Alligator mississippiensis: one gene and its partners. The protein of the gene in region 1 purifies or fractionates together with the protein of each later gene. This does not show direct contact. Links are inferred from orthologs where the notes say so. Each region holds a gene or a part of one and is shown in the gene's direction. Other genes may lie near its edges. The genes, in order: SMC3, NIPBL, WAPL and REC8.

The links.
Region 2: the proteins of SMC3 (region 1) and NIPBL purify together in Homo sapiens (affinity purification with western blotting; 4 studies listed by BioGRID, with this or other methods). This does not show direct contact. The link is inferred for Alligator mississippiensis from reciprocal best matches to the Homo sapiens genes SMC3 and NIPBL.
Region 3: the proteins of SMC3 (region 1) and WAPL purify together in Homo sapiens (affinity purification with mass spectrometry; 7 studies listed by BioGRID and IntAct, with this or other methods). This does not show direct contact. The link is inferred for Alligator mississippiensis from reciprocal best matches to the Homo sapiens genes SMC3 and WAPL.
Region 4: the proteins of SMC3 (region 1) and REC8 purify together in Homo sapiens (affinity purification with mass spectrometry; 3 studies listed by BioGRID and IntAct, with this or other methods). This does not show direct contact. The link is inferred for Alligator mississippiensis from reciprocal best matches to the Homo sapiens genes SMC3 and REC8.

Annotation. Positions count from the first base shown.
Region 1 is NC_081829.1:94,924,132-94,931,262, reverse strand, and holds the start of SMC3 (structural maintenance of chromosomes protein 3), read left to right. Parts: upstream 1-4,121; 5' UTR 4,122-4,219; coding exon 4,220-4,234; intron 4,235-7,131. UniProt on the Homo sapiens protein: Central component of cohesin, a complex required for chromosome cohesion during the cell cycle. The cohesin complex may form a large proteinaceous ring within which sister chromatids can be trapped.
Region 2 is NC_081826.1:278,648,615-278,656,264, reverse strand, and holds the start of NIPBL (nipped-B-like protein), read left to right. Parts: upstream 1-4,648; 5' UTR 4,649-4,737; intron 4,738-7,650. UniProt on the Homo sapiens protein: Plays an important role in the loading of the cohesin complex on to DNA. Forms a heterodimeric complex (also known as cohesin loading complex) with MAU2/SCC4 which mediates the loading of the cohesin complex onto chromatin.
Region 3 is NC_081829.1:42,183,520-42,191,104, forward strand, and holds the start of WAPL (wings apart-like protein homolog), read left to right. Parts: upstream 1-4,584; 5' UTR 4,585-4,892; intron 4,893-7,585. UniProt on the Homo sapiens protein: Regulator of sister chromatid cohesion in mitosis which negatively regulates cohesin association with chromatin. Involved in both sister chromatid cohesion during interphase and sister-chromatid resolution during early stages of mitosis.
Region 4 is NC_081830.1:7,827,755-7,834,884, forward strand, and holds the start of REC8 (meiotic recombination protein REC8 homolog), read left to right. Parts: upstream 1-4,123; 5' UTR 4,124-5,285; coding exon 5,286-5,341; intron 5,342-5,432; coding exon 5,433-5,501; intron 5,502-5,701; coding exon 5,702-5,844; intron 5,845-6,612; coding exon 6,613-6,688; intron 6,689-6,899; coding exon 6,900-7,014; intron 7,015-7,130. UniProt on the Homo sapiens protein: Required during meiosis for separation of sister chromatids and homologous chromosomes.

The DNA of each region.
Region 1 (7,131 bases):
TTCAACTGTGTCATTCAGAAGTGCTGGATATGTTATTTTCTCCTCCTGTAATTGTTCAGCAGAATGATTCATTCAACATGTACTGTTTATTGTGCAATGTGTTGTATTTTATGTAGAGGCAGCAATAAACAATTTGTCTAAAGGTAGAAGCAAAATGTATTATAACACCACTCCAATGGATAATATTCACTAACAAACATTTTATCAAAGGGCAGGTAAGGTGGCTGGGGCACTGGGGATGCCGACATTAAACAGAGGAAGTAATTCACTGATCTATTATTCTGAGAGAGACAGGAACCAGGCAATTATGTTCTGAATGATTTTTTTTATTAACTATAAAGGGGATAGCTACAGGGCTTCTATTATACATATAAACTAATTTTGGTAGGATTTACGTTTGTTGGAACACTGTCCAGCTGAAAAATCTCATTTCCTCTTCATAACTTTGCCTTTACTGTTATCACAATTAACACCCACAATTTCTATAATGAAAAGAGATTAAAAGACAAAATTTTTTCTCTCTCTTCAATTTGTTTATTTTGTGCATTTGACAGCAGCTTCTGGAATTAATCATGTGCTCCTTTGGAGATAAAGGAGTAGATACAGACTCAGGCTAATCTTTGCTGGCCTATTATTTCTCGCAGAATGTGCACATCATTCCTGTTATTGTCTTGAACAAAGACGGAGCAATAGCAAAAACTGCAGCAAAGCCAAGTCTACTAGTCCCGTACAGAGATCCATTTTCAGAACTCCGGTAAAAGCTAATCAGTCGGTCCGGTCATCTCAAACATCAAAGGTGACTGCTTTCAGCTCTGTGCCTTAACCCCAAACAGGAGGATTTTATTTTCTAAGCATGTCTTTGAACTGTCATTCAAAACGTCCAGGAGTTAGTGGATCATATTCTCCATTGCTGCATGAGAAGATGGGTGAGTAGCACTGCTAGAGCAGTTCCTTTGCCAGCTTTCTCCAAGGTGATTAAGTAAGGGATTAAGGAGGTCATCATGATAAAGGTTTAACTACACCTGAGTGATGCCTACCTGCTGCATGGACTCCTGAAGTTATTAGCAGCCGACTCAGGTTAGGTTGTATTAATTCATGTCAAAGAACCTGATCCATCTTGCAACCAGCCCAGGATCAAGGGAATGCAAAGGTTTAGCTTTATTTTATCCCCATGCCTGTATGCACACTCACTCACTCTGCCCTGAATTATATGAGGACCTGGCCTGGGTGCTTAAAGGTGTAGATGCCTATACTATACTAGTATAGTATAGTACTACTAGTATAGTACTACTACTACTACTATACTAGTAGTACTATACTAATATATAGCTCATGCCATGAGCTATAGTATATAGCTACCTCCACCCATCATTTAGGAACCACTGGCAACTCCTCACCACTGAGCTAACTGGATCACTTAGCTCATGTCGTACCTAATCTCCAGGCTGTCTCTCAAACAAGGCATTTTCTTGCCTATCTTTCTTCTGTTGAAGCTGTTGTTTTTTCACAAAACAATTAAATATTCATGGAGAAGAAAACTGGGGAGAGAATGATCGTATAGCTTAATGGTTAGGAGGAGGAAAGAGACGCACGTTTCTGCCCCAATGAATGCTGAATATACAATACTAAAACCTTCACTGAAGACTGAAACCCAGGTCTCCCCCGTTTTAAGTGCATGTTCTAACTCAGTGGTTCTTCATCTTTTTTAGACTGGAGACACCCCTGGGTAAAATCTAAACATCCCTTGAAAAATGCCTGCTCTTAGTTCTTACTACAAAAAAAGTAATTGAGCATTTTATCTTATTTTATTTTATTTTTTGGAAACTGCTCAGCAAGACCACAGCTATGGATTTCTATTTGAAATCTCTGTGTTTATCTTGTGAATTGTGTTTGCACACGTATCAGTGCTAATATTATGTGGCATACCATGGCACCCTTGAAAGGATCCCAAGGCACCTGAGGTTGCCATAGCCATGGTTGAGAATCACTGTACTAACGAACCTCTGAGGTACAGTCATGTTTTGTCTCTCTGGCCTGAAAATGATCAACTATGTCTTGAAAAGTAGAACAGCTTCAAAGTGAGAGACTGAGGGCAACCATTCTAGAATAATTTATAGTTAGCCGGGAAATGCAGGTTTAAAGCCCTTCAAACAGAGGAAGAACTTGACCCAAATCTTCCAAGGTGGAGCAGCAGCAGCCTTACTTGCTCCAGCTCATAGGTGTATTCAGAAAGTGCCTGTTGTATCGAACCCTGCAGGAAAATTAGACAGAGAAATGCCTCATCTGTGGATCATGGCGGGGCTTAGGGAACTAGCTACTCTGTGGGCACATCTACAAGTTCATTAATGCGCATTAAGTTAGTACCTGTCGTCAGTAAGTTATTACAGGTACTAACTTAAAGCATCATAATCAGCACTACTGTGCATTAGTGCAGATGAATGCTTTTTATATGACGCTTAATGCCCATTGGACTAAAGCTACTGCGCATTAACGGAAATGAATGTTTTCTGCGTGACGCTGAATGCGCATTGGACTAAAGCTACTGCACATTATTAGCCCATTAGCACGATTTTTGCCAGCTGTGCTAACGTGCAGTAGAATTAGTCCAATGGGCATTAAGCGTCTTGTGTAGATGCACCCAGCATTGTCAGGACTTAGTGCTCTTGAACACGCCCAGAAGCAGATCTTCCTGGCAGTGGCAACAGCCGATCCCTGGCGGGGATCAGCTGTCTTGGGGCAGCAACAGTCGATCAGATGAGTTTGCTGGGCTCGCGGACCAGCTTCCCTGGGGCCAGAATGGGAAGTAAAAAATAGCCGCTACAGACCCCTGGCTGGAAAGCATGCCTTCGAGGTGACTTTTTCATGTTGCAGCCAGGGGGGGTTTGCACGTGCGCATCCCCACCAGCGCTCTGCTTTTGTAGAGTACACACCAACTGCTGCAGCTTCCTTAGCCTGACGAAGGGTTTTTGAACCCGAAAGCATGCTTAATAACTATTCTCCAACCATTTAGGTTGGTCTAATAAAAGATATCAAATTCACCCAAGGAACCTTGTCTGCCTATATCCTTAGACCAACACGGCTACAACCTAAACCCCTACAAAATACGGAGGCACTTTATTGCCCCACAGATAAACGTGAGCACACAGCCTTAGAAAGACAGCTGCCTGCAAATATTATTTCTAAGTTCTCTCTTTCTCTTCTTCTTTTTTTTTTTAGGTATCGCTGTTCGAATTTGTGAGAGTATCACGTCAATCGTTGCTGCCTCAATAGGGGATGTCGGGGTTAGAAAACACCGCCTAGCACGCAGGCAGGCTTTTCTCCCGGGGAAATCTGAACGATTTAGCGCGCGAAGGTGAGCCCCTGAGGCCCAGGTAATATTGCACCTAGTTGCTCTCGAAGGATTTAGCTTTCATGCATCCAAATTGGGCGTGGGGCTCCGGAGGGCTCTCCGATTTCGGCCAAGAAGTCACTGCTCATCGTTCACGGTCCATCCTCTCTCCTTCCCCTGCGCGCCGGTTGTCTCCACGGGCGCCCGGCGCCCTCCATCGGGGCCCGCTCGACCTGGATCGATCCCGGGAGGTTTCCCAAACGCCGATGCAAAACGTGGACGCGCGCATCTGTCATTTGGGGCCTAGCCTCGACGTCAGGCAGGCAAAGGCACGCGAGTCTTGCGTTGAAAAAAAGCCCGCCGTGCGCACGCATGCATCCGGATTCAATAATTTAATATTTATTTTCTCGTTTCTCTCCAGGAGGGCGGTCTCTAATCGCCGGAGATGCCAGGGAGGGTTGACAGCCCCAGGGTTGCGAGGGTGCGCACCCCAGGCCCTCGGGCCCTGCGAAGAGGGAGCAGGAGCTTGGGGATGCTCCTAGGTCTGTTGCCATGGCAACAGGGCATCCCTCACCCCCCCCCAGGCCCCGCCCCTCTCCTTCCTGCGGCCTCGCTCTGGCCGCTCTCGCCTTTGGCGCCTAACCCGCCCTCCCGTGGGCGGAACCACTTCTCCCAGCGTGGGGGGGGTGGGGAGCCCGTCCGCGCGCGGCATTGTGGGCGCTACTCGAGAGCCTTCTACTGGCGTCCCCCCCACCGCCCCCACCGAGTGGTGCGCGCCGAGCGGGAGCGGGAGGCGGCGCCGCCGCCATTTTGTCGGTGTGAGGGGCCGGCGGGGCAGGCCCGGAGCGCGGCCGTGAGGCGGGGCGGCGGCCTCCCACCCCTGCGGGCGACATGTACATCAAGCAGGTGAGGCCCGGGCCCTGCCCCGCCGGCATCGGGGCGTCGGGCGTGCTGCCCGGACCCCCTCACGGCGGGGCCGGGCCTCCCCCACTGGTCACAATGCGCTCCCCGCGGTTGTGCGCGGCTCGTGTGTGGAGTACGTCGGTCCGCGGGCCCCGCCGCCGGACGCGCGTGTGCATGTGCCGCTCGGCCTCGTGCGCGCGTCCACACCTGTGTCTGCACACACGCACACCCCTACCCCTACATACTATGTACACATCTCTCCATCTCTGTCCATAGATGGGAAGTTGTACACACACTAATACACACAGATGTCCGTTCCCCTCTGTGTGTGTGTGTGTGATTTTTAAATTTGCTACCGACTCGTTGCATTGTATGACCCTTATTCTATTAATGAAACAAATAATGGCACTGTTTTATTACAAAAATATAATTTGAGTTGTAGTTGTACACGTCGGGGCTAGAGCGGGGGTCCCCAACCCCCGCCCCGGGCCGGGCCGGGTTGGCCGCCGGACCAGAAGCGACTGCAGACCGGCAGTCAAATTGCGGCCGAAAGGAAATCAGGTCAGAGATATGACTAGAAGCAAACTCTTTCCTGAAGCTTGAAGGGAAAGGCGGGCAACGCTGGTTGGAGGTAGCAACGATCGGACTGCGGAGGATTTTGGCGATGAAACGACCGTTTTAGAGGACACTGGTGACAAAGCCTTATTCTCAGACTGACCGATGTGGTCTTTATACACCTGCAAGTGCCACAGCGCCGGGTACTTGCATGTGTCAAATGCCCAGAGAGCCAGGATCAGAAAAAAATTCGAGATGGCAAACAGCCAGCTTAATTAATGTGATTGAAGTAAATGTTTCTGACTATTCGCAGTTTTCAAATGGCTTCAAAAAATGAAATCGCTGTCACGTGTGGATTATTGCATTTCATCCAGGTGTGCTAGACTGACGGTGAACTCACGTGTGTGACTGAGCGTGTAGGGCTGTCCAGTGAAGAATTCGATGTAGGCTCCTCTTGTCTGAAGGCAAAGAAAGAGGTCCTGGCATTGTAAGGTCGCTGGCCGTTCGGAAGTGCTTGGCAAAACCCGTTCTTTTAGGGAAGCTGTTCAAGTAAATAGTTGGTTCGTGCGGAGAGATTTCCCTTCCCGTTTCTGAAATTTTCGTTTTTGAGGGAAGATCATTTACTAAACAAATCAACAGAATCTGGAATTCTTTTTTTCCTTGTAATCCAGGTGTTTTATTTGTAGACATGGATAAATAGGGTACATATGTTGCAGTGATTATTTTGGTGGCAAAGAGTGACGATTTTATGCCCATGCTTAATATTTTAGTCCTGCCAATTATCTTGGAAATAATGAAATCAGCATAGCACCAACATCTGTGATCATTAGAAAAGTGTACATTTTGTCCGTCTATCTTATCTGTCTGAGAGATCGCAGAAGTAGGTTGTTCTGGGCAATTTCCCACTTACTCTGGGGGATCTCGTGTAAGAGCTCTGTTCTGTTGCATCTCTGCGAGTTTGTTAGCTTGGTGGCATTGGTTATGGTGTTTTAGCAAGGCAGGGAATCTTAGCTGTGTATTAGGGATGTCAGTACTGTTTAAAAATATGTATTTAAGGTCCTCTAGTTATATTGGTTAAGTGGTTAGCCAATAGTACGTGTACCTATTTAGTGAGCTCTGGCAGGAACAGTCCCCACCCCTTATTTTCATCGTGTGCCCAGCGCTGTGCGGCCCCAGGTCAGTAGTGCGGAGCTGCGGGTGTGGGCCAGTGGGTGTGGCTCAGTCACTAAGGGATTGTAAGGCTTCTCCTCGTCCCCAGGGGCTGGGGCCAGGGCTACATCCCACTGCCATGGGAGAACAGGTGCAGAGCCCCCTACGGAGGTCAGGTAGGACTTTCCCATGGTAGCCGCAGCAGCAAGACTGGGCAGCAAGTGGGTCTGCTTAACCCCCCTGCAGCAGTGGGGCCTGGGAAGGGTGACAGGCTCCCTGTGCCTCCTGCCACAGCCTGGACCTGGAAGGTTCCTCCGCATTGCTGGGTGCTTCCCAGTTTGCCCCAGGAGAAGTGGGGGAGAGGGGGTGTCTGGTCCTGCTGCCCGCATTGCGTCCTTCCCCCTCCCACCATTGGTGCTGAAGCCACCTGGGACCTGGACCAGCCCTAGCCCTAAGGCAGGGCTGAGGGTGTAGCTGGCTCAGCTTGAGTAGTTGCCCTGGCAGCTGCAGCAGGCTGTGTTGGGTCTGAGGGATCACTGCTGGGCCCTAGTGCAGTGAGCATGGCCCCAGGGCATTCCTGAGGGGCAGTGGCACAGCAGGGCTCTCCGTTATGGCTGCAACAGTGGCTTCCCAGGCTGGAGCTGCTGTTCTGCCAGGACCCCTAAGGAACACCCTGGGGCTGTGCACCACGTGAGGGACCGGCAACCCCTCATACCGAGCACTGCCAGCTCCAGCTGCCACGGCACCTCGTTGGGCCAAGCCAGATGCCCTCAGCTGTGAGGTGGGGGCTCCAATCCAACTGCCCCACCCTCCAGCGCTGGCTGAAAAAACCCCAGACCAAACTCCCATCATTTTCTTCCCTCCCTGCTCCCCCTCCCCCTCCCCCTGCTCATGACACATGCAGACAGAGGTAAATGAAGGTGATCCATTTTGGAGTGTCTTCATCTGAACCCTCATGCGATGAGGTCTCAGGTTGTTGTGGAATCAGGCCCTTTTAAAGCTCTCTGCAGCCATGCACTTATGTTTGGTCGTGGCTGTAGATCACTTTCCGGGGGCCAAATCAAGTGAAAATTGTCACTTCTGTCTGTGCCATGAGAGAGGAGGAAGTGGCACACATTTTGTTTACCATGAATGAAGGGCATGCATGCTGTTTCTTAAAGATTGCAGCCTGGTGATCAGCTGTCTAGGGGGTGGGG
Region 2 (7,650 bases), on another chromosome or scaffold:
ATTCTTCTGGTGCATAGAAAGCTAACAGTTCAAAATATTTTTAACATTATGGATCGTTATTTGATGCGTCTGGGTTTATCTTGTGAATCATGTTTTCACACCTAACAGTGCTAATTTTGTGTGGCTCTCTGCAGCATCCCTGAAAGGAACTCAAGGAATCCTGGTTGTGATTCACTGCTTTAGAGGGAAAGAAAACTAATATTATTGTTCCATGACATCAGAGTTTCTACTCCTGAATCATGTCAAAGAACAAGTATAGGGAAATTTGCAATGGGATAGGATTTTATGCACATTTCCCACATCAGATAAAATAAATGGTAACCCTCAGGTTGCAAACATGCAAAACAAATAGGTATACAAATATTTTATTTTACAAGCTGCAAATTATTTCATTTTTTTTCTTTATCTGCTTCACTTTAGACTTAACTTGATCTTAAGGTTATTTACTTCTAATGCTGAATATTCCCCAATGAATCAATTATATGGTGCAATTATTTGCTCCTGTGGATAAAAGTCAATGCAGAAAACATGATATTATATTTATATTTTTTGCAGACAGCATTCATCGTTTCCTCTCTTATTCATGGTCGAAACCAAGACTTAACACCAAAATCTAAGTAAGTTTGATGCATTAAATTTAGGATCCTATGCGACTCACTTTACAGTGTATCAATATACACTTATCTCCCAAAAATACATACAAAATTTTTAAAATGCCATTTTTTAAAGTATAGCCATTTTTTAAGACTCTTTTATATATACAGTTATATGATAGACAATCCTTAAAAAATTCTGGCCACAAAGAAATAAGAAATAGCTAACAGTTAAAATATATATTTAACTGTTAGTTATATAGGAAGTTGTACAGCAAGCAAAGCTTAAAACGAGAGGAACTTGATTATACTAAAACCTATCCAGGCACAAATAGAAAAGATTGAGAAATATAAATATTAACAATCTAACAAGCAATCAGATAATATAAGTGTGTACATCAGAGTCTATGAAAACATGGATATTGGATATTTTTAAATGCCAGACTGCACATTGCCCGTAACTAATTATTCAGCTTCATAAACTAAATATCTGGGGACTTACCCTAAAATCCAAGAGGCCAAAAAGTGTTCTCTGCTTCTGAATAGTAGATTTATAGATACAATTTTATACATCCTTCTTGCAAGTTTATTTCACCTGGTAGTAAAAAACAGTAGTAAAACATTTATGACTCAAGCTTTCTTCTTTTATCCTTGAAAGAAATATTTTCTCTATGTTATTTCTTGTGTGTATAATCTCTTGTTTCTGACTATTTTGTAAAAATATTGAAGTATCAGTCCACTTTGAAAAATACAAGAAATATTATGAGAGTTAACTGATGTTCCATATAGTTTAGATTTACAGCAAAGATAATAATACAGTTAGAGGAAAACATACATTCTTAACTGCCTTCACTTGACTTCAAAGAGAGTAGAATGAGGTTATGAACTTATCAGCTCTGTGCATAAAATTATTTCCCCAAACTTGTGATTCACTTGCAGGCCAGGGGCCTACAGGAAGAACAAGGTTCAGACCTGTAAACTAGCCTTTAGTTTATCATATTTTCTAATATTTTGTTTTTAGAACTTCTATGATACCATAATCTTTCTCCTTTTTGGACATCATGCATGTAAGGTGTGATGAATTTTTGCATATTGAATTGTTTTGTATATATGTACATGAACCCTCATTCTTGTGCCTACATGGAGCCCCAAAATAGAGATAATGAGTCATTGTTATCTAGCTTGTGTGTATCAGATTACAGGATTGTGAGGGATCTTACTTTGTACAAGTTAATACAGAGTAATAATTGCTGTAGATAATTATAAAAGTTATTTTTCATTTAAAGAGCTTAATTTTGTATATCATAACTTTCAAAGCAACCACTGCCTCAAATGTAGGGGGCTGGAATCGATGATCCTCCGGGGTCCCTTCCAGCCCAAATGTCTATGAAATTATTTATAACTTGTCTGATACAGATAATAATAAAATAAAAATGACTGCTTTCCTAAGTAATACTCTGATTAAATAGTAATACTAATTGATTAAACATGGCTGATGAAGTATGAAAAAAGGGCCAGTCTCAATCTTAGTTAAGCTTATGATAGAAATCTAACAGAGGCACAGGGGTGCATTTTATTACCATGCCATTTACACTAGATAGCCACACTTTATGTTGGAAAGACATGATACTGAAAAAGAAAGTTGCATTTAGTGCAAATCACTTTATTCCATTCTATAACTTTCTTTTTAAATATTTAATCATGAAGGTAATTAGTAAAACCATTTAGAGAGTCCATCAACTTGAATCTTGCAGTAATACAAAGTTAGAAAGTAGAATGAGGTAAGTATTACACTTGGCCTTGCGTCCTTGTGCTAAATTTATGGTTTTATAATCAGATTTCCTTATTCCTGCTTTTCTTTCTGCCTGCGCAAAAAATTCTGCATAAATAAGAGGGGAAGCTGATGCACCCTGATTCTCCATGCTTAAAATTACAAAAACAACATCTCAGCTGACTTACACTAAGAATGTGTGTGCGCAACAATATGAAGTCCTGGGGCCTAAGGATCAACAAGTTCCATATTTTGCCTACAGACAAGGATTCCCAGAATTAACTGTGTACAAGCAACTATATGAAGGACTGCTACATTCATAAACTAAACCAAATGAAGGCACGGGCAAGAGTTTACTCCTCTTACCTTTTAATTAAAGCATTATTAGGCCCTTTGTCTATAAATGCTTAATTCTGCTAGCATGAGTAGCTCTAGTGAACAGTGAGGTTAAACACATGGGTATTTACAGAACTCAGGATTACATGTTATTTTTAATTAATAATAGCAGTCAACAAGTTTTCAAGAGAAATGTGGCTTAAATTGACCGTGTCTATAAAATGTACATAAAGATTTATTCATATAAAATTAGCATATTTGGAACTAAACCACAATATTCTCTAATCACATCTCTCTCAGTCTGCACCCAGAAGCACACAAAGTCTTAGAATGGATTTTGAGTCATCATTTTCCTCTCCAGCATTATGAACTGGATCATTTTATTAATTTAAAGAGATGCATTTGAATCTGTGGTAGCCACAGAACACACAAATGACACAGAAGCCAGGCAGGATTCAAGTGCATGGATGCAGGACCAATGCATGGCTCTCTAAGAACTCCCTTACGGAAATGAGGTCCATCCAGAGCTGACAGAAGCACAACACCATATGCCCAACTGCTCGGTGTCTTCATGGCTCAGTCCTGCAGTCTTTACACATCCTAGATGCCAGTCTGATTATATGGAGTTTCCCCGAGGAAGGCTGGGTAGGAACTATAAGAATGGCAGAAAAGGAGGAGGTTAATGCGTATAGGAAGGAGCCTTGGCTGCCATGCCAGGCTGGGATCATTCACAACCCATTTTACCTGAAGAGAAAAACAGAGCAGCTTCCAGATTAGGGCAGTCCCATTCTGCAACCTTTCCTTCACAGCCCCAGTGCTGGCTTCCAGGAAATCTACCAGCAAGCCTTTCAGCTCCCAAGGAAGGACCCTTCACCTCAGCATCATTTTTTTTTTTTTTAATTCTCCCGTATTCGCTCAAGAAAGCTGGTTTTAAAAATCATTCAAATTCGGCAAGTAATCGCTTGACCCAGGACCACTTTCACCATCGGGCGTTTCAGATCTGGTGACATCAAGCCTCTTAAAACACGTAAGAAAAAACAGGAGAATTTAAGATCCAGCAAGTGTCCCGGGTCTGGCAGCTCCACTCACTGCGCGGGGGAAGACGACCTTCCTCGGGGATTCACGCTCAGGCTCCTCTCCAAGTCCCTGAAAGTCGTCCTCCAAGAAAAAATCCTCCCTCAAATGGTTCCTCTTCACGAGCCGCCGGCTGTCTTCCTCCTGGCGCAGGCCCGGGCGCAGACTCCACTCCCAGGCAGCAGCTCGGAAGGGGAAAAGAAAGAGAAACTCGGAGGCAGAAGCAGGGGTGGGGACGGGGCCGCCGCCCGCAGCGAGGAGCCGCGGCCAGGGCAGGGGCGGCCGCTGCGCGGGGCAGGGCGGGGAGCGGCGCGGCGGAAGCGGGGCTCCCTCCTTCCCTCCCTCCCTGGCTGCCTGCGCGAGCGAGCGAGCGAGGAGGAGGCAGCAGCGGCGGCGGCGGCAGCAGAGGGAAGGGGGAGGCTGTTGGTGTTTGGCGCCGGTGGAGGGAGTCATTCCTGCAGCTGCACTTCCGGTCGGCATTTTGTTCTGAGAGGGAGAGAGACACACAGGATCCTTCCCCCTCCTCCTCCGCTCCCCCCGCTTGGTACCGACTCCCGGCCCCAGGCTGCCCCCTCCCCCGCCCCCACACTCACCCGCGCGGAGGGAGAGGCGGCGGCGGCGGCAGCGGCCCGGCGCGGTGTGCGCCTCGGAACCGGTTCGGCCCGGCCCGGCCCGGCCCGGCCCAGCCGTGTTGATGTTGTGAAGCAGGCTCAGGGGGAAGGGATTTGTCTCGGCCGCTCACCCCCCGGCTCTACATGTTCGCTGCACTGAGGAGGAGACGGAAGAGGAGCCAGCCCCCCTCCCGGCCCGGATTATTGTTGTTATATTATCTCCCCTCCTCCTCCTGCTCCGCGGCGGCGGCGGCGGCCCAGCAGCGGCGGCGGCTCCTCTGAGGAGGGAGGGGGGCGGATTTCTCTCCCCCGCTCTCGGATTCTCGTTGGATTCAGACGCCGATTTGCTCAGGTAATCCCCCCTCCTTGTCTCCCCTTCCCCTCCCTGCGCTCTCCAGCAGCGGCCCGGGCCTCCCAGCCCTGGCGGCCCGGCGCTGCCGGGAGCCGGGGGGATTCGCTCTTCTCCGGGAAGCGGCGAGTAAGTGGCGAGCGGAGGGGTTTATTTCGCCTCCCCCCGCTCCTGCTGCCCCGGGGTGGGCGGCGGAGATCGGCTCGTCCCGGGCTGCCGGGAGGCGCAGGCCCGGTGGAGGGCGCAGGCCCGCCGGCCAGCGCCTTCACTCCAGCTCGGGGATTAGAGAGGCGAAGCGGCTTCTCCGTGACAGGCCTCAACCCGGGGAGCAGCAGCGGCAGGAGGAGGAAACAATGCAATTAGCAGCAAACGTGCCCTGATCCTTTGCCATATTTACAACTTCTCTAGGGCCGGGGGACGGTCCCAGCGCAGACAGTCCTCCGCGAAGTGGGAGAGCGGTGTGAGGAGCCGGGAAGAGAGACAATGTAAATACCCAGAAACAAATATAGCCATTATCGTCCCCGGGATCTTCTCCTGGCACAAACTCCAGGGTGAACCTGAAGAAGTTAATGCGACTAGATTTGTATTCTTTAAAGAACAAATTTCTGAATTCCCTACCAATTGATTAGCGTGGCAATGTCCAAGTTTATTTATAGCCTAAAACTAGCTCTTGTGGAATGATTGACACAAGGCGAGCACCTGCAGACCCCAGGAAATACACACAGACAAATGTTTGAGGTTGGTTACTAACATAATCTCCACGTTTACATGCTCAGTACATTACGTAAATATTAATATAGAAGAAATCCAGGGGTATGCTTTCTAATAAACTGAAGAAAAGGGAAAGGGGTCTTTACAAAGTGTAAAACTGTGACATTTCAGGGATCAAGGTAAAGATGGGCCCAGAGTATTTTAAGGATCAAGATGCATTAAAATTGCTGAAAAGTAAAGAATGTTAAAAAGTGCAATCTTTTCTTGTCAGGACAGACCACTTTGAGGACCTGGGGTTGTTATTGGCTGTTTGTGTCCCTGATATTTGAATATGTAATTAGGTGTCATCTTAACAGGTCAAATGTGTCTGTAAATGGCTGGTGATTAAGTATCCCTTTTTAATAAATAAATGGTAGCAAACTTAAGAGTAAAGTAAACCTTGGATTTCTGTGTGCTGGAGTTAAGAATAGTGTTGAAAATCTTAATAAATTTAAAGAAAACACTGTTAACTGATTAAAAAATACATATTTCCAGTTCAGCTGTACAGCTAGAGGGGAATTTAGCCTAATCCTGCTGTTGTAATACAAAGTTTCATATTTAATATTGAAAGGAAATTTATAAGTGGCTAAAGTGTAGCAACCTAGCATAATCTCCTGCCCCACTATTTTGTAGTGAGATTTTTTTTTTTTAGTTGTTCAGGGAGATCTCTGTTAACAGTATGTTGCTAATGTGTCTATAAAAGTAACTTTTTGGTGTTTTGTGCTTAGGGTCTTACTTATAAAGGATGTACTATCTTGCCTCTAAGCGTCCCAATACATGTTTAAAAGGGTGAAGTTAATATAGCTGTCACGTAGAAGGCGTGTTTTTAATGCTGTAAATCCGTGTAGTAGTCAGTAGCGTGTCCGTGATTTGTATTGGTCAGGGAGCAGTTTGAATTTTAAAAAGCCTGAAGATCCTGCTGAGCCCCAGCCCCGGCCTCCCTCCCTCCCACTAATCTCCCATTCCTGTCTTTGTGCTGCCTGGTCCTGTTAGACACTGTTTGCAACAGGGCCTCAGGCCTACATGCGTGGAGAGGAACCATTTACACTCTGAAAAAGCAGCTTTTATTTTTAAACTTTATGAATTGCAGAGGGAGCCACGAGTGTCTCTAATTGTCCTTCTCTGTGTGTGTAACTGAATCGCTGTTTTCTTTTGGGCCATAGCATGTGTGGAGGCCGAGTGTAGCAGTAGTTTACAGGAAAGAAAGGACTGTGTAGAAATAGTAGTAGCACTTGGGTAGTTTTCATCATCAGGAAGCGACATTAGTTGTAGTGTTTCTTTCCTTGTTTGCTTAAAACAGGTCTCTAGTATGTGCAAAAACTTAGTTGCTGTTAAATCATCTTGATTTGTGCACTTTAAATTTTAAGGATGTTTGCTTTAAGTATGTAAGATGAGCTGGAATTGAGGTGTTGTAGTTATGTAGTTCCTGTCAAGTCTCTCTCATAATATGTTCAGCAGCCTTTAAAAAAAATAAAAAAACATGCATTTCTAGATATTTTTATCTTATGTATGTAAAATAAGAGACACTTATAGACATCTTTAATTTTAGCTGTGTATTTGTGTTTTGGATTTATTTTTTCTTTAAGACATGCAATGTTGTAGATTAAATATGAATTATCTGGTTCATCATTGGCTACTTAGTGATAAGTTTCTTAGGCTCAGAAAAATGCCTTTAAATGTCTGAAAATATAAAAAAAACCCCACTTCTCAGTAAAGTGTGTAGAGTAAGATTTTTTTTCCTTTTTCTTGTTATTGCATGTTTGGTATGAAACAAAACAAAAAGTAGGGGAAAACCAGAAGTATTTAAATTTCATACCTGCTTGATGGTAGGAGATTGCATACATGTCCAAGAAAATATCTAAGTGACATATATGTATGACCAAAAAGAAAATGTCTTTAAAAAGAAGATAAATGCAGGTATTTAAATAAAGTATAACTTAACAGAACTTAAGTTATAACTTAACAGAATACCCGTTAAATAAAAAGAAATGCAAAACTCCAGAACTCTTTGTTCAGAGATGATACCTTTTATTAGACCAACTAAGAAATTGCAAAAAAGCCCCACAAACCCCCACTCAAATGGTTTGTTGTTTTGTTTTTCTGGTGTTTTTTGGTTTAAATTTGTATTATTTGTAAGGCTTCTAAGGTTACTCTGCCTGAAATGAA
Region 3 (7,585 bases), about 53 Mb from region 1:
GCAGGGGCTGCAGTAGGCTGGGGCACAGCCCAGCAAGGAAGGCAACCAAGCAAAGCCCTCAGGGTTCAGGTGGCCATAGTTGTGCCTGGCCCTCAGTTTCCCTCCTTAGGGTCTCTTGGGGTCTTGTACCCCTCAGGGCTCAGGTGGCCATAGCCATGCCCGGCCCTCACTACCCCTGGTGTTACCAGAACCACACAAAGGTGAGCACTAGAATTAAGGCACCCCTACCCGCCTCTCACCAGGGTGATAACTGGCCTGGCATTTCCTGGGTAATCCCATGCCACTGAGAGCCCCACCAAGCCACCCACTCCTGGCAGGGTGCAGTTTTAGGGCATGCCCAGAACCAGGAGCCTGCTAGCCCTCCCCTACAGCTCCTCCCTTACCTCCAGGATGATACATGAAGCCTCACAGCCAGGCAATGTTACTACCTCCCTGCCAGCAGGGAACTGATCTGGTTATAAAGGCAGCCAGGGATCTAAAAATGGCTGCCACAATCAGGCACCTGCTGGCAGCTTGGATCAGGCCCTTAAAGTGGCAGGCATCTACAATGCCCTGCCACACACCTCCCCTCTTAAAATGGTATCTGGGGGAGGTTTCACCTGCTGCTCCTCCAAAGCAGGCTCCCCTCAGAGCCTGTGAGAGCTCTCAAGTGGCGAGCATCCTCAAAGGTGCTCTGCCACAACAAGTCAATCTGGTTGGTGATTGCCCTTGGTGAATCCATGCTGACTGTGCCTAATCACCTTCTCCTCCAAGTGTTTAGAAATGGCTTCTCTGAGGATCTACTCCATGATTTTTCCAGGGACTGAGGTGAGGCTGACTAGTCTGTAGTTCCCTAGAATCTCCTTTTTCCCTTTCTTAAATATGGGCACTATATTTGCCCTTTTCCAATTGTCTAAGACCTCTCTCAATCACCACGAGTTTGCAAAGATAACAACCAGTGTGCAAGCTCATGAACCAACTCTCTCAGCATCCTTGGGTTACTGCACATTCAGTTTAGTATTTGTAAAAACCAGGAATCCTGGTTGTCTCTGATAAAAAAATCTCCAATTTTCAGATTAAATAAAGTAACCCCAAATCCACTTTTCCCCGTGATTAAAATGAAACACCACTATATAGCTATCTATATATTAGTGGTGTTTCATTTTAATCATGGAAAAAAATGTGGATTTGGGGCTACTTTTTTTAAATCTGAAAATTGGGGATTTTTTTTTTAATCAGAGAAAACCTGGATCTCTGATAATAACAGGTACTAACTGAATGCACAGGAACCAGTGCTACTGCAAAGTAGCACCAGCGCACAATTTTTTGTGATGCTATTAAGAAGACTAATTCTGCTGTGCATTAGGTCATTAGCATGACTTTTGCTGTGACATGCTAATGACTAGAATTAGTCTACTGTGTATGTAGCTTCTCTTGTAGATATGCCCACTAAGAGGATACTGAGCCTTAATGCTCTGAGGAGAGGCTGAGTGATTTAAACTGCTACCTGACTTGCTAGAAGAAATGAAAAACATCTGGTAATTAAACATTTACCTTTTATGGGGGGGTTTTCAGGAAGAGGACACCTAGTAGGAGATGGGGGTCACACCCAACAAAATAGAGATGCCTGGTAATCCAAACCTAATTGAACTTTTTCTACAGACAAAAAATAAAGTCTACAGGTTTTAGGTTCTATTTGCCTTTTATTGGTCCTTGCACATATTTAGGCTATACAGATATATTAGAAGCAATACTGCTTAATGTAGAGAGCCACATTTTCAAAGTTACTCTGTATAAAAATTTCAGAAGTGTTTGAAGTAGTTTGTGTGTTTAAATCCCATTGGAAGGCAGTGAGTCACTTTGGTTCTTTTGAACATTTTCCCTTTATCCTTAAGTTATTATTATAAAATTGTAAAGCTTTTTATTTTAATTAGCTAGGCCTACAGCCATCTGCTGAATGCCTACCAAAAAAGAAGAAAGGACCATCAGTGCATAAGTTAGATTAAATTTATCCCCTGTCTGCCACAACTCCCATCAGGACCCTTCAGTGAATATGTAATGCTTTGGAATACAAGATGCGTGGGACTCTCTCACAAAGACCAGAAATGGAACTTGTCCACAGGGGCTCAGGTACATGAGAGCTTAGAAAGAGGTTGTTTTAAATCAAGTTATAGCTGATGAGGATCTTCAGTTCTTCTGGTCTTCCACATACTAAGCTTTTAACAATGATGAAGGGATTCTTCAGGATCTGATGCCTTGCATTTGAAAGTTTGTCTAAATTTATCCCAACCATGTAGTTGGTCCAATACAAGATATCACCCCAAAAAACCCTTGCCTCTCCAGAACTAACAAAAATTTATCATGGGTCAGTGTTAATTAGAATCCTGAATTTTAAACAGACCACTTATTAGCTTCCACACAAGATAACCAACCAGAAAAAATGAACTCACTTTTATGTTACTTTTTTTATTGTAACTTACTGCCACCAGTTCTTCAAAAGCTATCAACCAAACTGTTAAAGATCTTTATCTTTAACCTTTTAAACTTATTGTCATCCAAAATGAATGTCTCCCTTTATTACCCAAATTATACTTGTGCTCTTAATCACATGACCCCAATATATTCCTAATTACCTTTTTTCTTCTCCAAGACCAATTGTGTCATCTCCCTAAAGCAGGGACGGGCAATTATTTTGGACAGAGGGCTGCTTACTGAGTTTTGGCAAGCCATTGAGAGCCACATGACAGGCAGCCCAGGGCAGCTTAATATTAATTTTCTAAATTTTTAGGGGCCCTGCAAGCCGGATAGAATGGCTTGGTGGTCCGCATTTTGCCCACCCCTGCTCTAAAGAGTGTGTGTGGCTCACAAACCCTACAAACTATTAACATATCATGACTGTGACTGAAGGTTATAAGTAAACACAGAAATTCAAGCCTATTTGTTTCATTTGTTGAGTTTGCAAAGAAGAAAGAAATGTAGCCTTTTAATTCTTTTAAATAAGCTTTTAAAATGGATTTAAATAAACCTGGATGAATGAAAGAGGAAAAAGAGCAAAAAGAAATCCCTGACCACAATCCTTAGCTAATCTCCCAAATCACTCCCTTCCCTCTTGGTTTAGTAATAGCAGTCTTCCATCTTTCCTCTTTAATTTATATGTAGATTTATCCTGAAAATCCCTAGTCAAATTACTCAGAATTTGCAAAATCAGGTCTCTCTGCTGTAGAAGAGTTTTGCCTCCAAGTCTTTTTCTCAGGGGGTTGAGAAGTTTAGGACTAGGCTTGAACTGTGGATATCTTAAGTTTGTAAAAACATTGTATCAGTAAAGCGCCATCCTTTATGAGAAATATGAGCAACTAAATAAAGACTTTAAAAAATCTTTCACCTTCTAGAATCAGATTGTTTTTAAATTTGGATACTACTGTATGTTTGTTTGATACAATCTGTATGTTTTGTCACTACACTAACCTTTACTTTTTTTTAGAGGGTTTTAACATCATTACTTATCCCTCAGAAGTATGTAGTTATTGTTTGGTCTTTACTAGTACTAGTGGAAACAGTGGCATGTCTTGATAAAAATGTGGAATGAAGGCCTTTGGCATTGTCTTCCACATTGCCACTTTTTATAAAATGTGTGCTGAGGACAGGCTATAGCTGCTCATAAGGCTGAAATTTTTGCAGTTAGATTGGCATCATATGGTTGGATAATACTGTCTCTCTCTTTTTGCATTTTACTCCAGAGGAGTTAAGGTTGTTTTGGTGCTTTAATTGCACGACAATCATTTCTAAGATCAAGTTTCTTTTAAACTGAGTAACAAAGCGGGTCTGCACACATTTTAACTGTTTCATGTTGTCACTTAACCAAGCACTAAAGGATACAGTTACCTTCCATTCCCCTCCTGCTCATTTTCTTAAAGTTATTCAGAACCGGTGCAGGTGCTTGTGAAGCCTCCTACTGAGTTGTGCTTCTGTAATTTCCTTTTTTTTAAATATGATTTTTTACAGTCTGCAGGTGAGTGTCCCAGGCTTGTCTGGCTCTGAATTCCCAGCTCCGTGGAAACGCGGGTGCTCGCTTTTGCTTTCCTCGGTGCTAAGGCTGCAAACAGACGTCGCCTTTCCAGAGGGAAAAGAACGAGCGTCGCAGCCCCTACCAGGCCGCCCGGGGCCCCGGCCGCTGCCCGCCCCGAAGGAGCCCGGCCCCGCGCGGGGTCCCCCTCCACGGTTGCAGGCGTGTACGGAAATCCCCGGCTCCGCGGGGCGCCCATGCCCCTGGGGACTGCTTGGGCCAAGCCCCAAAAAGGCAAAAGCGGGGACGGCGCAGACTGTACCACCAGCAGCACGTGCGAGGCAGACACCGGAAGCAGGCGCTTTCCCCAGGCCCCGCCCTCCTAGTTCCAAATGAGGGCGGCCCCGCCCTGTGGAACCACAAGTCCCGGCAGCTCCTCGCGCGGCCGCGCACGCGTGCTGACGTGACAGCTACGCGGGGAAGCGCATGCGCGGCGGCGTGCGGGTCGGTTGAGTAAGGTGGGGTGCGATTGGCTGCGGGCGGCGGCGAGTGTGGGAAGCGCAGTGACGGAAGGAGCGGGGGGCAAATGGCGGAGAGATGGTCCAGGGCCCTGTTCAAAGCGCGGCGATAATCCCGGCGCGGAGAAAGCGGCGCCGCAGGAGGTGGCGCCGGGGGCCCTAGCGCCAGCGCCCCGCACTGCCGCCGCCCCGCGCAGGCCGGATCCCGCCGCCGCGGCGCAGGGGCGTGCAGGAACCGCCGGGGCAAGCACCCCTGCCTACGCGGCCGGGCTCTCGGCGCCGGACCCGGGCGGCCGTGTCCGCGGGGCTGAGGCCGGAGAGCACCGCGCGCCGAGCCGTGCCCCATTGTTGCCGGCCGCCGCAGGCCGCCGTCCATCCTGCGTGACACGGAGGTGAGCGCCACGCCGGGCCGGGCCGCGGGACCGAGGCCCAGGCGGGGAAGGCCCGGCGCCTCTTGCCGCCCGGCTGCGCCTCGTCCCCAAACTACAGTCCCAGCTCCGCTCGGGTCTCCTCCTCCCCCCTCCTCTCCCCCCGGGCGGAGCGGAGGGAACTGGAAAGTTCCAGCAGGGCCGCGGCCTCGCCCAGCTCGGACCCGGCAGTCCCCGCGGGTGTGGGGATTGGGGGAGACTTGGACGCCCCGCGGAGGCGCTTCCAGGCCCGGCTGCCTGCCATGTCCAGAGTATCAGGTGGCCTCTAATTCGGGCTGGGCAGCATCGCCTCTATAGGCTGCCGCCGCTTCTCTGTTTGTGGGGAGCCTGAATTGGGTCAGAAGTAGATGGCGGGACCTGGGTCCGCCGGGCCGGCTGGGGGGGGTGGGGACGACGGGAAATGACATCATGAATTGGCCTGTATTTAAACTAGCCTCCCCCCCTCCCCCATCTGCACATGGAGAAAGTAGCTCATCCCATTCAGTGTCTGTCCGCCTCTGCCCTGCTCTCCTCTGATGCTGTGTAAGGGGGAAGGTTTCAGGGAAGAAGTGAGGATGAATGGCACCTCTTTGCCTGGCAGCTGTGAGCTGGGCCTACTTCGGCCTCTGACTGTACTTCCCCCACCTCCCAAACGCAGTGTTGCAGATCATAGGGAGAAGCAGCTGCTTTAGAGACTGTTTTTTCCAGCTATAGCAAAGGTTTTGCTTGCATTCACATGTTTGCAGCACTAGCTGTGTTGGGTCAGAGAAGTAAGTGGGGGCAGGGAATGGAAACAAGAAAATGAAACTGAATAAAGTTGCCCAGACTGAGTGAAAAGCAAAGAGGGAGTAGGAATGGGGGCAGGATTTGTAATGTTTTAAAGTTGAATCTGTTAATGGTTTCTGGATCTTCAAAAATGAAAACCAACCAGCTTGTAAATCTCTTGAGCCCTGGCTGAATCTGTTCTCTTACATCTGGAAGAGAAGACAATTAAGATAAATCCATTTGTGTAGTGAATGCAACTTGGCCAAGTCAAGAGAGATTAATTATTGAGTGAGTCTTAGTAGCTTTGACCATCAAAATGAATTTGTTGGAGAACAGTTTGGTCTTTTGGGCAAACCGAGTCAGAAATTTCAAGTTGGAAATGTGGACCAAAGTGAAAAAGAAAGCAAGACTTCTGCATTTATATGATGCCAGAAGTGTTTGTGACTGCTACTGCCAGTCATACCATGGTTATCTGTACGTATGTGGGAGGTTGTGAAGTATGGTAAAGCCTTTCAAATACTTGGCAAATAAGAAACAAGGTCACTTTATCAAGCCAGCTATAGACCCAAAATTAGCTTTCTAAAATGTGTTCTTACAAATCCTAGGAACGATGAAAAAAATTCCCGTAACTTTAAAAAATCCCAATGCAAAGTGGTATGTGTGGAGTCCTATCGCATGCTCTCCCCTCTCCCTCCCCCCCCCCTTGCAGACAACAACTTCTTCCCTACTGTATGTGTTTGCTGTTCTTAGTATTGTATGTGCAGACTCAAAAGATAGACCTGACCAGAAAGTGACTGTAACAATAGCTGATTTAATCTATTAATACTTTCTGGACTTCAGCAAGGCCTTTGACACTGTCTCCCACCCCATCCTCATTAAAAAAACTAGGCAACTGTGGCATTGATGCCTACACAGTCAGATGGATTGCTAATTGGCTGAAGGGTCGTACTCAGAGGGTGGTGGTAGATGGGTCATTTTCAACCTGGGGGGGAGTGGGCAGCGGAGTCCCCAGGGCTCGGTCCTTGGGCCCACACTGTTCAATTTCTTTATCAGTGATTTGGACAACGGGGTGAAAAGCAACCTGTTCAGATTTGCTGATGATACCAAAATCTGGGGTGAGGTGGGCACGCTAGTCGGGAGGGAAAGACTGCAGAAAGTCCTGAATAGGTTGCAAGGGTGGACTAACAAAAACAGGATGCGTTTCAATACGGACAAGTGCAGGGTGCTGCACTTGGACAGTAGTAACCGGCAGCACACTTACAAGATGGGAAACTCCCTTTTTGAGAGCACAGAGGCAGAAAGGGATCTTGGAGTCATCATTGACTCCAAGATGAACATGGGCCGACAGTGCGAGGTCACGGTCAGCAGGACTAACCGGACCCTATCGTGCATTCACAGGGGCATCTCAGGTAGGGCCAAGGAGGTGATCCTCCCCTTCTATGTGACACTGATCAGGCCACAGCTGGAGTACTGTGTCCAGTTCTGGGCACCCCACTTCAAGAGGGATGTGGACAACATTGAGAGGGTCCAGAGGAGGGCCACCCGCATGATCCGGGGACAGCAGGGCAGACCCTACAATGAGAGGCTACGGGACCTGAACCTGTTCAGCCTTCACAAGAGAAGGCTGAGGGGGGACCTTGTGACCATCTATAACTCACTAGGGGGGACCAGAAGGGTTTGGGGAGACCTTGTTTCCCCTAGCGCCCCCTGGGATAACAAGGAATAACGGCCACAAGTTATTGGAGAGTAGGTTTAGATTAGACATCCATAAGAACTACTTCACAGTTAGGGTGGCTAGGATCTGGAACCAACTTCCAAAGGAAGTGGTGCTAGCTCCTACCCTGGGGGTCTTTAAGAAGCGGCTTGATGCCTACCTGGCTGGGGTCACTTGAGCCTAGTTTTCCTCCTGCCCA
Region 4 (7,130 bases), on another chromosome or scaffold:
TCGTCTGAATGGTAATTATTGGCGTCGTAACTATCTACAATGATGTCTTTTCTGTGACTCTCAGTCATGAAAGTACATCAGCCATTGTTATCCAATACAGTGAATATTAGAAGTTGGTATTACTAGAGGTCAGGATACATCAATTTATTCCATAGCAAGTCATTAGATATTTATTGGCACTATTAGAAACTTGATATATTTTAATGTGTACTCATGTATATTTAGCCACATGGATTGCCATTATTACCCACTGATCTACTGTAGTTACACCAATATATAACAATTAGCCATCCTTGTAATTAATAATTATTGTTGTCATTAATAATTGTTAGCACTCTTAAAAATAGTATATTATCTATATTGGCTATATTAACTATTAGAAAATCAATATATTTCATATGTTAATTTGATATAATAATGCATATTTAATAGATTATTGCGTATTTAGCCACATGGATGACCGTTACTACCCATTCATCTATTGTAGTTTCACCAATATATAACAATTAGTCATCCTTGTAATTAAAAATTATTGGCACCGTTAGAAAATTAGTATATTAACTATATTGACTATATTAAGTATTAGAAAATCAACACTTTATATATTTTATATAATAATGCATATTTAATAGACTTGCATATTTAGCCACATGGATGACCATTATTACCCATACATGTACTGTAATCTCACCATTATATAACAACTAGTCATCATTGTAAGTATTAATGATTGGCACTGTTGAAAAATTAGTGTATTAACTCTATTGATTATATTAACTACATTAACTTTTAGAAAATCAATATTTTTAATGTATATTCATGCATATTTAGCCACCGTGGTAACCATTATTACTCATTCATTTAGCGTAATCACACCAATATACAGTTAGTCATTCTTGTAAAAATAATCATTGAGGATTTGTTACCATTGTAATTAGCCATAATTTTACAGGTTGGGGTGTTAGGTCTATGTTGTTTCAGGGTTGAGGGTAAGTCTTAAACAGAGTTTAGACTATGGTTGTATGGGATGGTTTGGATAGGGATGACCCTGCATCAGGCAGGGGGTTGGACTAGAGCAGTGGTTCTCAGCCTGCAGGCTGCATGCGGCCCAATCAGCACACTGCTGCAGCCCATATGACATCCTGTTAATCGGGTTTTTTCAGTGGATACACAGGAAGTAAGTTCTGGGTGCAGCCCACATAACACATTGGGTGCTTGTACATAACGTGTGCTGTTTAGATGCACGTTGCGAAATGGTGCCAAAAATCACTTTTGCTAGGTTAGTTGTGTGTGAAAATACAGGTTGAGAGCTGCATGGGTGGCCCACTGTGGCAAATAGTCTGAGATCCTCTGGAGTAGAGGATCTCTGGAGGTCCCTTCCAGCCTGACTTCTCTATGACTCTATATACATTACATTTATTAATCTATGGCAATTAATTTCCATAGATATTGGGGTGCTAATTATTTATTAGCCCATATTATTACAATCAATAGGAGTGGATTTACATCTTCATTTTATGTATTTTTTATGAGTCTCTTTTTTACCTATAATATTATTATAGTTTATAGCATTCTTAATGATCTATTATTATGAATATTTAATAATATTACTGTTTGGCCATTTGGTGGCCAATTGGCTATTGACATTCATGGTTCGTGGCTGACTATTTAGTATTTGAGCATTTGTTTGATTTTTGAATTTTGTAGTTATTGTAACTCAGTATTATTCCTCATAGATTCATAGATTCATAGATGTTAGGGCTGGAAGGGACCTCAATAGATCATTGAGTCTGACCCCCTTCATAGGCAGGAAAGAGTGCTGGGAGAGCACCACCTCCCTTGGGAGCCCGTTCCAGACCTTGGCCACTCAAACTGTGAAGAAGTTCTTCCTAATGTCCAATCTAAATCTGCTGTCTGCTAGCTTGTGGCCATTGTTTCTTGTAACCCCCGGGGGCGCCTTGGTGAGTAAAGCCTCACCGATTCCCTTCTGTGCCCCCGTGATGAACTTATAGGCAGCCACAAGGTTGCCTCTCAACCTTCTCTTGCGGAGGCTGAAGAGGTCCAGGTGCCCTAGTCTCTCCTCATAGGGCTTGGCCTGCAGGCCCTTAACCATACGAGTGGCCGTTCTTTGAACCCTCTCCAGGTTATCCACATCTCTTGAAGTGCGGCGCCCAGAATTGCACGCAGTACTCCAACTGCGGTCTGACCAGCGCCTGATAGAGGGGAAGTATCACCTCCTTGGACCTGTTCGTCATGCATCTGCTGATGCACAATAAAGTGCCATTAGCTTTCCTGATGACTTCGTCACACTGACGACTCACGTTCATCTTGGAGTCTACTAGGACTCCCAAGATCTCTTTCCGCTTCCGTGCCACCAAGCAGGTCATTCCCTAGGCAGTAGGTGTGCTGGACATTTTTCCTCCCTAGGTGCAGCACTTTGCATTTCTCCTTGTTGAACTGCATTCTGTTGTTTTCTGCCCACTTGTCCAACCTGTCCAGGTCTGCCTGCAGCTGTTCCCTGCCCTCCGGCGTGTCCACTTCTCCCCATAGCTTTGTGTCATCTGCAAACTTTGACAGAGTACACTTCACTCCCTCGTCCAAGTCGCTGATGAAGACATTGAAGAGTATCGGTCCAAGGACCGAGCCCTGCGGGACCCCACTGCCCACACCCTTCCAGGTCAATACCGACCCATCCACCACGACTCTCTGGGTGCGACCCTCTAGCCAATTCGCCACCCACCAGACTGTGTAGTCATCCACATCACAGCCTCTTAACTTGTTCACCAGTATGGGGTGGGATACCGTATCGAAGGCCTTCCTGAAGTCTAAGTATACGACGTCTACCCCTACCCCTGTGTCCAGGCGTTTTGTAACCTGGTCATAAAAAGAGACTAGGTTGGTTAGGCACGATCTGCCTGCTATGAACCCGTGCTGGTTTCCCCTCAGCATAATTTTTCCTGCCGGGCTCTTGCAAATGTGAGCCTTGATAATTTTTTCAAAGACTTTGCCAAGGATGGAGGTGAGACTGACTGGCCTATAGTTGCCCGGGTCCTCCTTCCTCCCCTTCTTGAAAATGGGGACCACATTGGCCCTTTTCCAGTCCTCTGGGACCTGGCCCGTGCGCCACGAGCGTTCAAATATTCCCGCCAGTGGCTCTGCAATGACGTCCTCATTAGTTGGAGTACACTTCTTTATAATTTGGTGACCATCTCAGGGTGTTTTTCTTTATTATTAGTCATTTGTTAAATATAAGGTCATTTATTTATTTATTAGGCATTTTAAGCAATTTATTACTAAATCAGTATTCCCTATTCAACAGTAGTCATTTCTTAATGAACTTTTTTGGGATTATCATTTTAAGTCAATTGATGAAAAATCATCATTAGTGAAGGAGGGGACATTTCTTCTGTTAACAGTGACATGTGTGGCTGGCTCTGTCCTCATGGCTAGAATTCATTGTTAACAATGGCAGAATTTAACCCCTCAGAAAGTAATTAGCAATGATGGAACACATTAATATGACTTTTGTGACAGTTAATTATGTTAGCAATAATTAGTGTTAAGATATAACTATAACCTAGTCGTACTCTTCATTTAAAGTAGTTATATAGGGTTTTTTTTCATTATATTTAGTAAGTGCATATAATTTTACTTTAATTTAGAATATTTTAGGTGATTTATTTATTCTTTTTCATCGTTGATTAAAGAGCTGAGCTTCTGCTGGTCTGTTGCTTTGTTAATTGGGTTGGTTAATTGTTCTAATTAAGATTCCTTACAGCCTTCTTTAGCTAATCGCGCTGATTTCTTACAGGTTTGTAAATATTCATGAGCCCCCGCATATATTAGCGTGTAGATAGGGTTTGCTTCTGAAGAGAGAGCGCACCAACATGTCTCGCCCCTCAGAAATTGGCGGGAAGCAGCCCTTCCCCGTGATTGGACAAGACCGGGGAGACCGGACTCTTCCCATTGGCTGGGTTCGGTGAGGTCACGAGTATCCCTGGAAGATTTCTAAGGCCGAGCAGGCGGAGTACCACGTGTTTCTGCTCTCTAGTCACTTATTGGCTGGGAGCTGCCAGGACCCCGTGCGGTCTCCGGGGCAGGCAGAAAAAACCCCACGTGGGCGCGCCAAGCTGATTGGCTGAAGTCCGGCAGCTCTGTGCAAACGGCCAAGGTCTCCAGGTAGAACGCCGATTGGCTGTGACGCGACAGAGCCGCCGGCAGGAGAGCGCGGCGATTGGCTGGGACCGCGCTATATAGCGGAGAGGCAGGCGACAGAGCTGTACCTTGTGCGCTGTGGGGCTGGGCGCTGGATCTCGTCATCCACCGGCTTCATTGATTAATTTAAATAATTAATCAGCAACGTCTTTAATGATTCGGCTGCGAATAATTAATTCCCACCGCCATTATCTATGTTAGCTTCTAATTAGCTTAACATTAGCATAATTCATTGTCTATTGACACCTACAGCAACACTAGTTTTGTTAATTACTTAATTTGTTAATTAGTATTGCTGATTAGTTAATCAACAATTCCCCTACTTGTTTTCCCATTAGCTGCTGTATTTGACTGGGGTCCCTGGTAGCCCTTATACAGCCGCTCTGTCTTGGCTTTTAATTAGTTAGCTGTTTATTAGTTCCAGTTAATTAATTTGCTTAAGTAATTGTCACTAATCCTCTCCTTGTTTATTGCTAATCGTCCTATTAACCTTTCAGCACTTGCTATTAATTGCCTTCTGTCTTAACGAATATTAATTGTTTGTTAACCCCTGTTGATTATCCCAGTTATGAACCCCTGTTAATTCTTGGGGTGCTGGGTAACTATTGTCACTCTTAAAAGTTTGTTATCTCTCATTTAGTATTGTGGTTAATTCTTCATTCCATCACATTCATTAATTAGTTATTGATGTGTTTGTATTAATATTAATATTCCTAATATTATTATACAAGGTTATTTAATGTTCATTTATAGCCCTGCTTGTTCCTAGTCTGCATCTTGAAGGAGCACATCTTGTCAGTTTAGCCCTTTTAAGTTCCAAAGTCCTCTCTTGCCTCCTTTTAATTAGCCTCAATAAGGCCAACAGCTTAATATTTAATATTCTAGTTCATTCATCTCCCCTCCACCTCATTAGGGGAGGGAGGTTTTAACTGTCTCCATTACTAATTAAAACCCCCACCAGTCACTTTTCACCCCTTTTTGGGGGTCTTTCCTGTCCTCATCATCCCCCGACCCGCTTTGCTAAGTGTTTAGTCTGGGTGTGGGCTCACTGGTCAACCTCATCGACTGCCATGTTCTACTACCCCAATGTGCTGCAGCGCCATAGAGGCCGCTTCGCCACCATCTGGTAATTACCCAGCTGGGGGGGCATGGGGGAGGGAAGGATGGGGGGAGGGGGTCTCTGGTGCCACTCCATATTAATGACCCATCTCCCCAAGGCTGGCGGCGACAGGTGGCACAAAGCTGGTGAAGAGGGAGTACCTGAAGGTGAACGTGGCCCAGACATGGTGAGTGGTGGGGATGGATGGATGGGACTCTGGGGATGGCTGAATGGATGGATGTTAGATGGAAGCGGTGGGGAGGGAGGGATGGCGAGGGGCTGTGAGGATGCTGGTGGGGGGTGTGGGGCTTCTGCCTGGGAGGGCTGCATAGGGTGATGGGTCTGGGCTGACACCGGTGTTGACCCCGCTCCCTCTGTCCATGGCAGCCAGGAGATCCTGGCGTTTGTGCTGGTGCAGGTGCCGCCCCCAGTGCCTGGAGCGCCCCGGCCCCGCTTCTCGCTCTACCTGTCAGCCCAGCTACAGTATGGCGTGGTGTGCGTCTACAGCCGCCAGTGCCACTACCTGATTGGTCAGTGCCCCCTACTCTCCTTGGGACCCCTCGTTACTCTCAGTACCCCCCCAGCCTCCTTGGAGACCCCTGTTATCTCTGGTGCCCTCCAACCTCTCTTGGGGGACCCCTCGTTGCTTCAGTGCCCCTCCTGCACCCATGCATGTGTGCCTACTACAGATTAGCTCAGCTGGGCTGCGGGGGAACAGTGGGGATAACCCCCTCAGCACCTTTACAGCCCATTACAGGGCTGGTAGCACTGAGGTGGGGGGGGAGAAGGGGGGCACCCTATGGGGCAAAGGTCAGCCCCCTGTGACCCCAAATAATTCTAGAGTGGAGACAGACCCCCCGCTCTCTGGCCCCCAGCTAGGCAAATGCTGCTCCCTGATCCTTGGCCTTTACCCCACTGCCCCAACCCTGTCCCCTGGACTGCATCCAGATTTGTGCCCTCTGGCCTTGTCCTGATGAGTGCCATATGCCCTCTGATTCCACACTGACATGTGATCCTGTGCCTCTGACCCTGCCCTTGACCTCCTGATGCCTCAGAGCAAATTCCGCTCTCCAAAATCTGGCCCCACATCCCTCCCCTCGCCCCACCAAGACCCCTGGCCCTGTGCCCTCTGACTCTGCCTTGGCTCCCCAGTGCCCCCATAGTAGATCCACCTCCCCTCCCATGTGACCCCATTTTTCTGCCTCCACCTCCTCTGAACTTGTGCCCCCTGATCCCACCATGCCTTCCTGGCTCAATACCTGACCCCACAGTGACCCCTGACCCCATGCTCCCCCCAGAAGAGATCCAGCAGACCCTGGAGCGCCTGCATCGCTCCCAGCAGCAGATCCGCATCGACATGGTCGACCTGGAGCAGTGAGTGGGGACCCCCCCACCCTCACCCCACAACTCCAGACACTGGCCAGGCCTGTGGGACATCACCCAGTGTCGTCCCCCCCAACTCAACCAGACCCTGGAGGGTGGGCAGAAATGGGAGGGGTGGGGTTAGGGGGCCAGAGGATGGGGATGGGTAGGGTGGGGGAAGGTGGATGGACCCCCCACCTACCTGCTTTGCCCCCCACACCAGGCCAGGGCTGCTGCTCCCTGACAACCTGGCAGCGATGGAAGCCCTGGAAGACGCACCTGAGCCCTTCTTTGGAGTGATGGAGCCGCCCTTGCCCAGCCCCCGCTGCATCCCCCAGGTACGGCTTCCCATTGTCTTAGATCAGGGAACCAGTGGGTCGTTGAGAGAGACAACGCTGGAGAGACGGGAGATGTCATTTTATTAATGTAAATTTATTCAGCAGACAGGACACAC